Schizosaccharomyces pombe: one gene and its partner. The protein of the gene in region 2 binds, or shares a complex with, the protein of the main gene of each other region. Each region holds a gene or a part of one and is shown on either strand. Other genes may lie near its edges.

The links.
Region 1: psf2 (region 2) and sld5 share a complex: the UniProt entries of both Schizosaccharomyces pombe proteins name them as parts of the GINS complex.

The regions. Positions count from the first base shown.
Region 1 is NC_003423.3:2,911,079-2,916,295, forward strand, and holds sld5 (GINS complex subunit Sld5), read right to left. Parts: upstream 3,218-5,217; 5' UTR 3,143-3,217; coding exon 2,498-3,142; 3' UTR 2,394-2,497; downstream 1-2,393. Other genes in the region: SPOM_SPBP4H10.19C (calreticulin/calnexin-like protein), read right to left, coding at 1-234, 313-387; nhm1 (m7G(5')pppN diphosphatase), read left to right, coding at 1,150-1,461, 1,504-1,709, 1,851-2,038, 2,085-2,293; pop4 (Rnase P/MRP subunit), read right to left, coding at 3,792-3,940, 4,013-4,517; RSC complex subunit Rsc9, read left to right, coding at 5,194-5,217. UniProt on the Schizosaccharomyces pombe protein: The GINS complex plays an essential role in the initiation of DNA replication. Has a role in chromosome segregation and is required for bir1 localization.
Region 2 is NC_003423.3:1,225,657-1,232,699, reverse strand, and holds psf2 (GINS complex subunit Psf2), read left to right. Parts: upstream 1-3,512; 5' UTR 3,513-3,672; coding exon 3,673-4,224; 3' UTR 4,225-4,392; coding exon of another isoform or gene 4,393-4,534; 3' UTR 4,535-4,552; downstream 4,553-7,043. Other genes in the region: orotate phosphoribosyltransferase Ura5, read right to left, coding at 974-1,621; acetylglutamate synthase Arg6, read right to left, coding at 1,907-3,409; nbl1 (borealin N terminal domain-containing protein), read right to left, coding at 4,393-4,534, 4,606-4,774, 4,824-4,938; CCAAT-binding factor complex subunit Php2, read left to right, coding at 5,786-6,790; tsp0 (tspO-like protein), read right to left, coding at 6,705-6,731. UniProt on the Schizosaccharomyces pombe protein: The GINS complex plays an essential role in the initiation of DNA replication. Has a role in chromosome segregation and is required for bir1 localization.

The sequences.
Region 1 (5,217 bases), 1.7 Mb from region 2:
TGGTACTGATGACGATTGTCGAGTAGTAGGATTTTCTAGGTTACTTATAAGAATATGAGGTTTATTACTTTTCAAAGTAATTAAACCATATTCATCTCTTAAGTGGGAGCCTGGTGCTTCAACCAAGTCCCAAACCCCCAAATCTTTGTTCACTGGAGCACGCCATCGAGAGCGCCAGGTTGTGATGTCTTCAGAAGTAAATTGTTCAGAGAATACGGAAGGAATTGTACAAGGCTAATACATAAGTTAGTAACCAAATAATGCAAAAATCCCAGTTATCAACAATTATTTGATGGCAACAAAACCACCTACTTTGTATGTCTTCACATTGAGATCGTGGGCAAAAATCAAGTTTATAAAAAAAAAGTAGAAAAGAAGGGTTTGCATATTCGTAACTTTTAACCTTAACCCTCCTTCCCCAAAAGGCGAATTTAACAGGAAAAGATGATTCTTAAAAAAAGGAAAAAAAACCTTTAAACTTTACTAAAAAAAATATAACACCTGTAAATAATAAACGTAAACGAGAAAATAAACAATTAGGTATAGACAAATGCTAATTGTGAATAAGGGTTCGGTTTCAATTCGGGTTGGTCAATGTCTAAAAGGTTGTACGAGTTGTGTCTTACTAGAATAAATAGCAACCGCGTACGAAAAGATGTTTATATAGCTTTATAAGTATTGAAAATAACTACTTTATAGATTTAATGTTTGTGTTATATATTAATTATTTCACAATTTTAAATTCTCAATATACATTTTGAAGTAACTCTAGGCATGTGATATTACCGGTTTGTTTTGTAATTTTTTAGGTCACTACGATATTAAGATTCTATGTAGCGGTGTCTGACAGAAAAAAAAATTTTGATTTTAAGACTTAGAGTAAATTATTTGATAGTTATAATTTGTATTTGTTTTAGGTACTATATAAGAAGGCGTGTTTCCCTTTAACCTTACGAATACTATTTAGTTTTTTGTTGTAAGTGAAATATTATGTAGTAGAATCAACCTATTAAAGCCTTGCAACAAGCTCTTTAGTCTCAGCATCTCAAAAGCTGTTGTACCTCTCAATCTTTTTGGATTTTTTTACTTCTATCGGTAAGACATAACGGACGTTTAAATATTTTATACCCAAGAAGAGACAAATTTAAAATGGAAGAAAGTTCTGCCGCGAAAATACAACTGCTTAAAGAATTTAAATTCGAAAAAATTTTAAAAGATGATACCAAAAGCAAAATAATAACCTTGTACGGAAAAATCAGAAACGAAGTAGCATTACTTTTGCTCGAAAAAACAGCTTTCGATTTGAACACGATAAAGCTTGACCAACTGGCAACATTTCTACAAGATACTAAACTCGTAGAAAACAATGATGTTTTTCATTGGTTTCTAAGCACTAATTTTCAAGATTGTTCTACATTGCCCTCTGTGAAGTCCACACTAATTTGGCCGGCTTCTGAGACTGTAAGAAAATACCAATTTTTCCTCTCTATTAACCGTATGTAGCATGTACGAAAATATTCTTCTCAAAAAAAGAGAATGGTGTGTGAAACGCCGGAAATGTATCTAAAAGTCACTAAGCCGTTTATTGAAACTCAAAGAGGTCCTCAAATTCAATGGGTTGAAAACATCCTTACTCATAAAGCTGAGGCCGAGCGTATTGTCGTTGAGGATCCGGATCCCCTGAATGGATTTATTGTCATTCCTGATCTGTAAGAATAACTCAAAATGGTTTATTAGTTGCATCCTTTAAATGCATGCCAATTGTATCTATCAGCAATAGTCATCCCTGGTACTTGGGTGCATGTTTTACCATATATAAGTTCTTTTGTAAGTTTACTAACAAAAATTAGAAAGTGGGATCGCCAAACTATGTCTGCTCTGAATTTAATGGCTATTGTTCACGCAACGGATATTGCAAGTATTCGTGATTTGAAATATAAGCATATTCCTCTTTTAGAAAACATTCGAAATAAAGTCTTGACAGAAGTCCCAAAACAATTTTCCGTAGATAAAAATCAGTTAAAGATGTTTGTCCATTGTATGTTATAATTTAAAAGCAAAATAGTTTACTGACATTCCTCTAGATTTACCTTCCTACTACCACTTACATGTACATATATTGCATGTTGACCATGAAACTGGAGACGGCTCTGCTGTAGGACGAGCAATTCTTTTAGACGATGTTATTGATCGCCTTCGCAATTCCCCGGATGGTTTAGAAAATGTAAATATTACATTCAACATTGGCGAACAACATTTTCTATTCCAACCGTTAACTAATATGAATGCCTGATTGAAAATATGGTTGCCAAACTGTTGAAACTGATCACATCAGTTAGATAAATCATTTATACCTTTTTGAAGCTTATAAAATAGAGATAATGATATTGTATTGTTGATCAAATTATACATTTACATGCGAAAATTCAACTTTAAATAACAATCCAGTACAACCTACAGCCTGTGAAATATTGTAGTAATTAATTAATAGCCGGGATTATATTAGTGAGACAACACCAAGTCGAAGGTAATCAGAAATAACAGAGTACCGAAGAATCAAAACATCTCCCTTGTCGAGAGTTATATACTCATTTTCTGAAACTCGAAAGTTTTCTTCGACTGACTCGTTGACCACACAAAACACGGCAGTATCCATATCAGGTGATGCTACCATTGATAAATTTCCGACCTTATCATCAAGTTTATTCATTTTTGCAGGAACTTCTCGTAAAAATGAATCCATGTAATGACGATGTACTATTTGCTGGTGCCTTAAAAGATATTGACGTTCTGGAGATGACAAATACAACAATAAATTAGGATGTGATTGAATGTATTGAGCATATTTGTCAATTTTATTGATTCGAGTTCGCATATACGAGCGTAAAACAAACTTCACTCGCTCAAGTTCGGTTTGCATTAGTACGCTCCTATAACTAGTTGCACTACTTGTTCCAATGGCCAATTGTAGAGTTTCTCGTTGTGCTTCAATTCTATCAAGAACTCTGCTTACAATTTCTTCAGCAAAAGGCAACAAATCCGGAGCCATTCGCTCATTCACCCATTGAGTACATAAATCCTCATAATCATTCTCCACTTCTGTTGTCGGTTCTATTAGCAAATCATCAGCATCCCACTCCATCCATAAAAAATATACAAGGATGCTCAAATCACGAAGGCAAATGAGACCTTGTTGTAAAGCTACAAGCTTTTACTCAAGATATGTTAGTAGTTTACATAGCACTTAAATCAGTCCAATTGCAGAGGTAACAAGTTACTTACGTCCCTTTTCAAACAAAAATCCCAAAAGCATATCTTGCTCTTAAACGACTTTGACATAATCTTCGTTTTATCCTATGCATTCCATTCACTTGTCTTAGTTATCGTACACTTCAGTAACATCTTATATTATTGCCCGTGAATCAAAAAATCGAAGGCTATAATCTTATAGCGAAGAATTGCATAAAGGCGCGATTTATCACTTATACTTTAGAAATTCAGTAAACGAAAATTAGTATTAAAATGTTGGATCAATAAATACAATGGAAAAAGATCTGTGCTCTGAAAGTATTTTAGAGACTGGCGTCGTTTAAGCTCTACAATATACAGCAAACATACAATATTGCCAAGTATGAACAAGTTATTGTCTACACTGCGTGCTCTGTAAGCAATATTAAGTATTTGTACGAAATTGCCAATATATATACACTAATAAAAAGAAACCACTCTAGTATTCCATTTCAATCAATCGCAAGTACGATTCTCTAAGAGAATCACGTAATTAACAACTTTCAGAGATCTATTGTATTTTTCGATTTAAAACGCTTATTCGATCTATCACCTGCTCTCAATAGTAAATGTTGAGTATACAATTCAAAAACAAGTTTCCTTTGGGGAACATCAACGATAACTTTCATAACAGAATCTTGTTTGGGAACACCTAGACGAATTAGTAAAAAGTTACTCAGCAAAGATATTTTTCAAAATACAATGTTTTGAAAATGGTACTTACGAACAACCCTGTTTTCTTTAGTAATTAAAGAGAGCATATGTTTACTTTCGTGGATACAAATACCTTCAAGTCCGACTCGCGTAGTACTTTTACTCCGAAGAACTTGCATATATGCACCTTGATATTCTGCTTTTGCTAATTTGGCCATTAAAGATTCACCTGTGCATCCTGCTATCACTTCTAATATGTAAGAGCACCACATGGAATGTAAATGTTTGAATTGGCTATAGTCAGCAATCTTTGGAACAACATTTAATTGCAGCTTTTTTTTCTCCTTTGAAGACAACTTTTTCCTTTTCTTTGAAGCAACCGACTCTTTTCGATCTCCTTGTTTTTCTAAGTTTAGAGAAGGGACAAGTAAAAGCGGTTTGAAAGCAATTTTTTCGTTTATAACATTTTTTGCCTCTTCAGGTGTTAGGATTTTTGTTTGAAATACCAGGGATTCGGGTGTCACTTTAGAAGTTGAATTGACAGTTTTCAACGAAGAGTATAGTGGATCAGCCATTCAGTACAAATGGATTGTCTTTTGAACGTAAAGGTAATAATAATTAAAGGAATAGCAAGTTATATCTGTTGTATTATTTTACGAAAATTGCTCCATTTGGCAAGTCTAGATATTTGGTGGTAAAGGTAATATGTGAGACTTTTTTTATACTTTTGTACAGCAAGATACTACTTCCAAAGTAATAATACAATTTGGCCCCCGTTTGAGAACTTTTACCCCACTAGAGACTAAAGATATATACCATCAAGGTCATATACACTTTGCAAAATTACAAAACATCGTTAGACTGCGATAAGCATTTTCTGTACTCAGTACATTCTCTTAAGTAGATGATATGAATAAACAAGTGTAGATTAGTCACAAAAACAAGTTTATTTAATAGACAGTTGAAAGATAAAACGGAAATAATGGATATGAAATTTTATTTAAAAATCAAAATTCAAAGAAAGCTTGTTGTATCGGTAGAACCAGTTACTCATACAAAGAAGAACATGGGGACATGTAATACATTTAATACAGCATAGTATAGTGAAATGTAGTGTTCGTTGTTGTAAATTGCCTACCCCATGTATTCATTTCAACTGCCCAAGGTCTCCCCCACTTAGTATTTCGAAAAGTTGTGAAAGGTTTCGTTATACTACTTTTGACCACCTACTTACTTTACGACGCGCGCTTCATGTCACAAGTCATTCAGGGAGCA
Region 2 (7,043 bases):
GTGCTTCAGGAAATGCGGATCCTTTTTTTGATAAAAAGGAAATTTGCTTGCTTTTTTAAGATCTCACACAAACAGAACTAAATCTTTCACCCTCTCTTATGGTGAGTTAGTGGTAAACGATAAATACTTGAAGGTTACATATTAGTAACTCAATTATTGTACCATTCGATTCCACTATGTTAAACCAATTGTATTACATAAATGATAAAGAATTTCATTGTTCAACTCGAGTTTTTCTAATAAACCATTTTTATTTATAGACTGCAGTGACTACTTATTCAAATTCACATTGAATATGAGAATAAAAACATTCCAAAATTTCTTAACATTTTCTTGTCATAATAAAAAGTTAATCACCAGGCTTCTGTTTAAAGGTTTTACCATTATTTAATATTTGGTATTTCAAACACAGAGCATAAATACCCGTCGCAGAATTGAAAAATAAAATCCTAAATTTTTTATAATTGCCCATTATATGCGTCTTTCGAACGTAAATAATCATCACTAAAAACCAAATCCTACAAATTTTTACAAAAATAATACACAAATACCATTTTGTGAAACATTAATTATCCCTCAACTCAATATTTTGGTAGCTTCATTCCTAACTGTCATCTTGGAAAGATTCGAATAACACAAAAGAAGAAACAAACACAAAAAAAACAGATTCACGGAACTAATCAAAAGATAGATGGATATGTGCAAAACAAAAGCTTAACAAGTAAACCAATTTCCTTCGTCTATTATAGAGAAATTTTTGAATACCGCTAAATGCAATCGCTTTATAGAAAATTCCTTCTAATATGAGTTGTATCTATCACCACAAATATACAGATAAAAAAATTCTATAACATATGTAAATACCAACTAACTTCACTCTCTTTAAAAAAGCAAAGCTAAAAACCAAAAAAGATACTTATCCAATTATTCTCTTTCCTCCTTCCAAATTTTTAAAAGAAACATTACCATAAGCTCATTTGGCTTGGTACTGCTGTCTGTAAGCATCCATTGCCTTTGATTCAGCTGCAGTTAAGTCTGATTTGGTAAAGTCAACAATGTCGTCCAAAGTAAGGATGGAGGAAACGGGTAAGTTAAGCTCCTTCTTCAATCTACCAATGGTACTTTCGTTTACTTCGGGGTCCAGTCGCTCTTGGCGGTCAAGCAAAAGGACGATACCAGCCAATTTTACGTGCTTAGGTTCTAAGAAGGAAATTGCTTCACGAATGGCAGTTCCAGCGGTAATAACATCATCCAAAAGTAAAACCTTTTTACCTTCCATTTCGGCGCCTACAAGGTTACCTCCTTCACCATGGGACTTGGCCTCTTTGCGGTTATAGGCAAATCCATAGCTCTTTCCAGTTTTTTCATAAAGTTTGACGGCCGTTATAGCAGCCAAAGAGATACCCTTATAAGCAGGACCAAATATGACATCAAAATCAACGTTCATAGCGATAATAGTCTCGGCATAGGCTTCTGCAAGAGCGCATAAATCGGCACCATGAGTGAAATTACCAGAATTGAAGAAGTATGGAGATTTTCTGCCTGATTTTAAGGTGAAAGTTCCAAACTTCAAAACATTATGTTCTAAGGCACGACGCAACAACTCAAGTTTATAAGACATGTTTACTACTAGTTTTGTTGATAAACGTTGATACTCACAAAAGAAAAAAGCTAGTATCACCTTTTCTAAGCTCTACATGGGGGTTATGTGGGGGAATAAACAAAAATCATAACTAAAGAAAAATGCAAGTTTGTAGGCAAACTACTCAATCTATAATCTAATGTGCAAAAGAGAATTAATGTCCTATCAAAATGGACTTTTTTCCTTTTATTAAAAAGTTTGACAAGTGCTTTTGAAGAAGCGAAATAATCTTGTCTCTGATAAAGTGCAATCGTTAACTTCCACTCAATTCAACCATGTTGGCTGAATTTTATCAATAACGCTCATATACTGGTTCACTCGATCCAAATTTCTGACATGTGAGTCTCCAGTCCAGAAAAGTTTCCAAGGTGTTTTGCTTGACTTTAAGGAGCCTACACTTCTTTCAAAGTACCATTTATTGACTGGATTAGTCAGGCGAGAGCGCCATATCAACTCTTTGGGAAATAAATCAGTCATAACATTAAACATAACATCAGATATTGCTGCTGAACCCTGGGCTCCTTGTGAGACGGCAAGCTTATCAAGATAAGGGACCTTTTCATTCGTTGTTCCATCTGGTTGTTCATAAGTTACAATGGCTGTCCCTAAATAGTCCCCTGCAATAATGACTGCAGCTAGCGAATTCTTCAACCTATCTAAATATGCGTCCATATCAAGCGTTCGCTTAAAGGAGTCATTAATTAAAACCCAAAGCCTTTCCCACGAAACGGAGCCATCAGTTAGACATTTCGGACCTAGGAATGTATATACCGGTACACCGCTACGCAAAACAGTTGTTTTCGTAATAGGAGATCGATCGCGCGGCAAGGAACATGAAATAATAGAGCGATCCGTCAAAACATTGTGAATTAACGGATTTTTGTCTAAGACAGGATTTGTAAGCATAGCATCCTCAGGCGTAGTGATTAGAGCAGAGGCATCATCCGGTAACATTTTCAAACAGCGTCTTACCAAAATCAAATTTTTTCTATGATAAGGTGGAAGTGTTTTCGCTAACTCGTCAAACTCTTGAGCCAGATTGATGAGAACATGACTAGAACCAGTTTGTCGTTTAGAACATGGCATGCCACCATTTTTATCAAGAATGACGATTCGGTCTACCCAAAACCCAAAGTTTGGCTTGTGTAACGAGTAAGTTAAACCAGCAAGAACCTCATTACCATCAATTGGAACCTCAATGACGTTGGGCATTAAAATCGAGCTTGGCACTATGACCGTGTAAAGTGAAGACAGCGCTTGAAAAATACCTTGCACATTCTCAACACTAGGGCCTTCAGGGCCCAATTGACATACAGAGGAGTAGCTAGGACGGGTTAACACTCCCGCTTTCGAAAAAATTTCCGAAACTCGAATGACTCTATTTTGCTGTTGCTGTAGCTCCTCAAAGATTGAAAGTTTACGTTTTTTCGCTACGACCGTACCATTCTCCAAATATTTAAAAGGAGATGTCATGCCAATTGGATTGGAAGTGGGAACAATCACTGATTGAATCCCTAAACGTGCCAGGCTATTTATACTTCGACCAATTCCATATAGGGTATTATCACTTAAAGAATCCACATCATCAATTTTGGTAATAGAAATTCTGTTTAAAAACGAACTCGATATTGGCTGAGCGAAGGATTTCTTGTTGGGAGAGCCATCCTTAAGCGAAGAATGTTTTTGCAAAAACCCTTTCGTAGACCTACGAGATTGGACTGATTTCAATATCCAAATAAGGTCTTGTGACAATGAAGGTTTTTGCATTCAAAATTATTACCTTAAAACGAGAAATATAAAAATTTGACAATCATATACCGATGACCTAAGAGCAAGATGTGATTTAGATGAGGGTGACTATTATGAGTCCGAAACCCACCACACAAAAAATTATGCTGTAAGGAATAACAACCAATAAATGCTATAAACGAACTCCAAAATAGAAAAACAAAACTTTAAATAAAAAAAGACATTAAGCCCAAAAACGGTACTATTGATAGGCATTTTTGTACTGTTCGTTGGTGATAGAGATGGCCTTACCAAGGGAACTTGAAATTTCATTCTCACCAGAGGAAATGGAATTTTTAGCTGGCAATGAGTATATTAACATTGTTCCTTCAGAAACAATGGATCAATTGCCGCTAGTTAGCGCGACGATTCCCATTATGAAGCCTCCCAAAAAATGTCGGGTTCCTTTATGGTTGGCTCTTGAGCTAAAAAAGCAAAATTTGGCAAGGATTGTACCTCCGGAATGGATGGAAATAGGCAAACTTGAAAACATACGAGATGATGAATTGGAAAACGAGACATTCTCAGAGTTGCCTTTTCGGTGGCTAGAAACGGCGCATTTATTGTTAAACTTCTGTGCTGATGATATCGAGGATGTTGAGGATATCAGGAGGATTTTGCTGGACATTCGAGAAGCTAGACAAAGTAAAGCAAGAACGGGATTGGAAGCCATTAATGAAGTTCAACTAACTTTGGATAATTTGGGTGCAATGGAAATTAACGAAATACGTCCTATATTTCGAGAGGTGATGGACAGAATGCGCAAAATTGTTCAAGTTTCCCAAGAAGAATGAGTTACTCATCAAAAGTAAAGTGGGAAATAAATGGACTTCACATGAGAATATTTCGGTATCGTGTGGATGATGTACTTTAAAAATAATGATAATGAATCCTACGAAGTGTTTATGAATACCAACTTTGTAGTAGTGAAATTTTATCACAGTAAGCAGTAGATGAGGGTTTCACACTTGCGACTTTGAACTCGATTTGGAAACGGTGGTGCTTTTTGATGAAGAAGAAGAGGAGGATGCCACCGTTTTTGTAGGTTGTCTAGCGGACTTTTGGGAGGAAAGCTCGTCTAGATTATAAAATTCTTTTATTTTTCTGAAATAGTAATTAGCAATTAGTGTTTCCAGTAGTACGTATGGCAAAGTAAAATTTGATATTACACTTACGTTCTCCACGGTGTGGCAGACACATTGCAGGAAAGATGGTTCTTTAGATCGCGCAGATGCATATTTCGTTGAGCGCGAGGAATAGCGGCGATACGCATTTCTCCTCGCATACGAATTGTTGAAGCAAGTAAACTAGCGTTTGAGCGCAAACGTCGTACTTTATCGGAAACTGAAAAATACCCGTTAACACTTTACTACTTCCAGGTACAAAAACTTACGTTCAAATGCTAAATTTTCAAGTATATCGTTCTTGTGTTCTTGGAGAATTCGCTGTCGTACTTGACGATGTTTCGTCTCTCCAAGCTCTTCCACTCTTTTACGCTTGTTCATCATTAAGCATTATAAATTATCAAAAAACAAAACAGATGTTTGCTAACAGCTGATCAAAAGACGGTACTTCTGGGTGCGCTGAAAAGGTGGTGGGAATAAGAGTTGTTGTATAAACAATAAATCTTCAACTAATATGTAAGTAACATCGTTACCTAATACTCAATATGTAAACAAACGTTAGAAAGGAGAGGATTGCACAAAAAAGCGTACCCAAAAGATATTTTATAAATTGAAAGAAGAATAATGACCTAGAATTAGAAAAAAGCAGCAAGTTTACAAAATAAAAGCGTTGAAACACATCACTTTAAAAGGTACATAAGAATTGATGATGCTTACTTCTAAGTAAATTATTAATAATATCAAATAAAAAAATATTGTACGAGGTAAAAGTCTCCCTCTTCAACTACATCGCATACAACATTGAAAACTGTTTAAAAAAGATATTTGGTATAACGTGTTCCAGTGCCATACGCTACAATGCAACCTCTGTTGTATTATATTTCGACTGTTAGCTTTTTTTTAACCCAATTCATAAGAAAATAGTTATGCCATTCAGTTAGTGACATTATCATATGTGTACATAAGATTATATATTCGTTTGTGACAAAATGCACTGCAAGCCGTCCTCACTATTTGCAATCCTGGAAAGATCGACAATAATCGTTATACACATTTACCGATATGTAAAGAATAGCTGCTTACCATTGGTAGTCGCTAGCGCCTGCGGAGTTACAAACCACCTAAACCAACCAACCGACCAACGAGACGAATATACCGTAACGAGCAGAATTTTGATTCCTGAGATCCTCCCAATAGTTAGAGCAATTGAAATAAGAATAGTCATTTTCCAATGAATCCATATGAGCCGGTCGAGGGGCTTTACGTGAATGCAAAGCAATACCATCGAATTTTGAAACGTAGAGAAGCTCGCGCAAAGTTAGAAGAGAGATTGCGTGGTGTGCAGACTACGAAAAAACCATATTTACATGAATCAAGGCATAAGCATGCTATGCGACGACCTCGTGGTCCTGGTGGCCGATTCTTGACTGCTGACAAAGTATCAAAATTGAGAGCGCAGGAAGCTGCAGAGGCAGCTGCTAATGGAGGAAGTACAGGAGACGATGTTAATGCCACAAATGCCAATGATGCCACCGTGCCTGCAACCGTTTCTTCTGAAGTGACTCACACGTCTGAAGGATATGCGGATAGCAATGATTCAAGACCTAGCTCTATCTCCAACTCGTCTGAGTCTCCAGCTCCTATCAATTCTGCCACAGCATCTATGTCTCCTGCTAACAATACTTCTGGAAACAACATTACTTCTCCAAATGTCAGAGGCGAGCTAGACATGAGTGGTAATATTGCCATGTCGGGTGGGCCCACTAATACCGCTTCCACCTCGGGGCCAGTGCCTCATGATATGACAGTGCTCCCACAGACCGACTCAAACACATCGAATCTTATGTCCAGTGGTTCTCAACTAGGCAGTTTTGCTACAGCTTCTACCAATGGCAACAACTCTACTACTACTACTACTTCGTCAGCTGCTCATCCAGGGTCATTTCATAAAGGTACTAATGATTATTCATCTACACTAGCTGGAAATGAGCATAGTGCTTTTCCTGGTCTGGATGTGTATCACGATGATAGCGTGTCTGCAGGTGCAGCTTTTATACCACACAATCCAATGGATTCGATTGATCACCTTGATGTCAATGATCCTACAGCCACAGGTCTCCCTGTACTACCAGCGAGCGATATCGATCCTCTTAATTTAACAGGCAATACCCAAGATTCTATGATAATTGGTCAGCAAACATATCCCTCACACGGTTCTTCAGGAACCATGAAGTAGTCAACTAATTAAGGCTGAGAGAGATACAAAACAATCACAAGACTGTGTATAGGTTGTCGACCTACCGACAAAGTTCAATTTAGGACTGCAATGTTGTTGGTGATTTTTTGAGAAAGAAACAAGTCGAAATCACTCAGTCATGGCCTTTTTGCATATCATATTATACTCATTATTTTTTTAGTCACCGATTTATTATCCATCAATTTGTTTTGACTTTTTTCGTTCTGCCCAATTTTTTTTTTTTATTTAACTC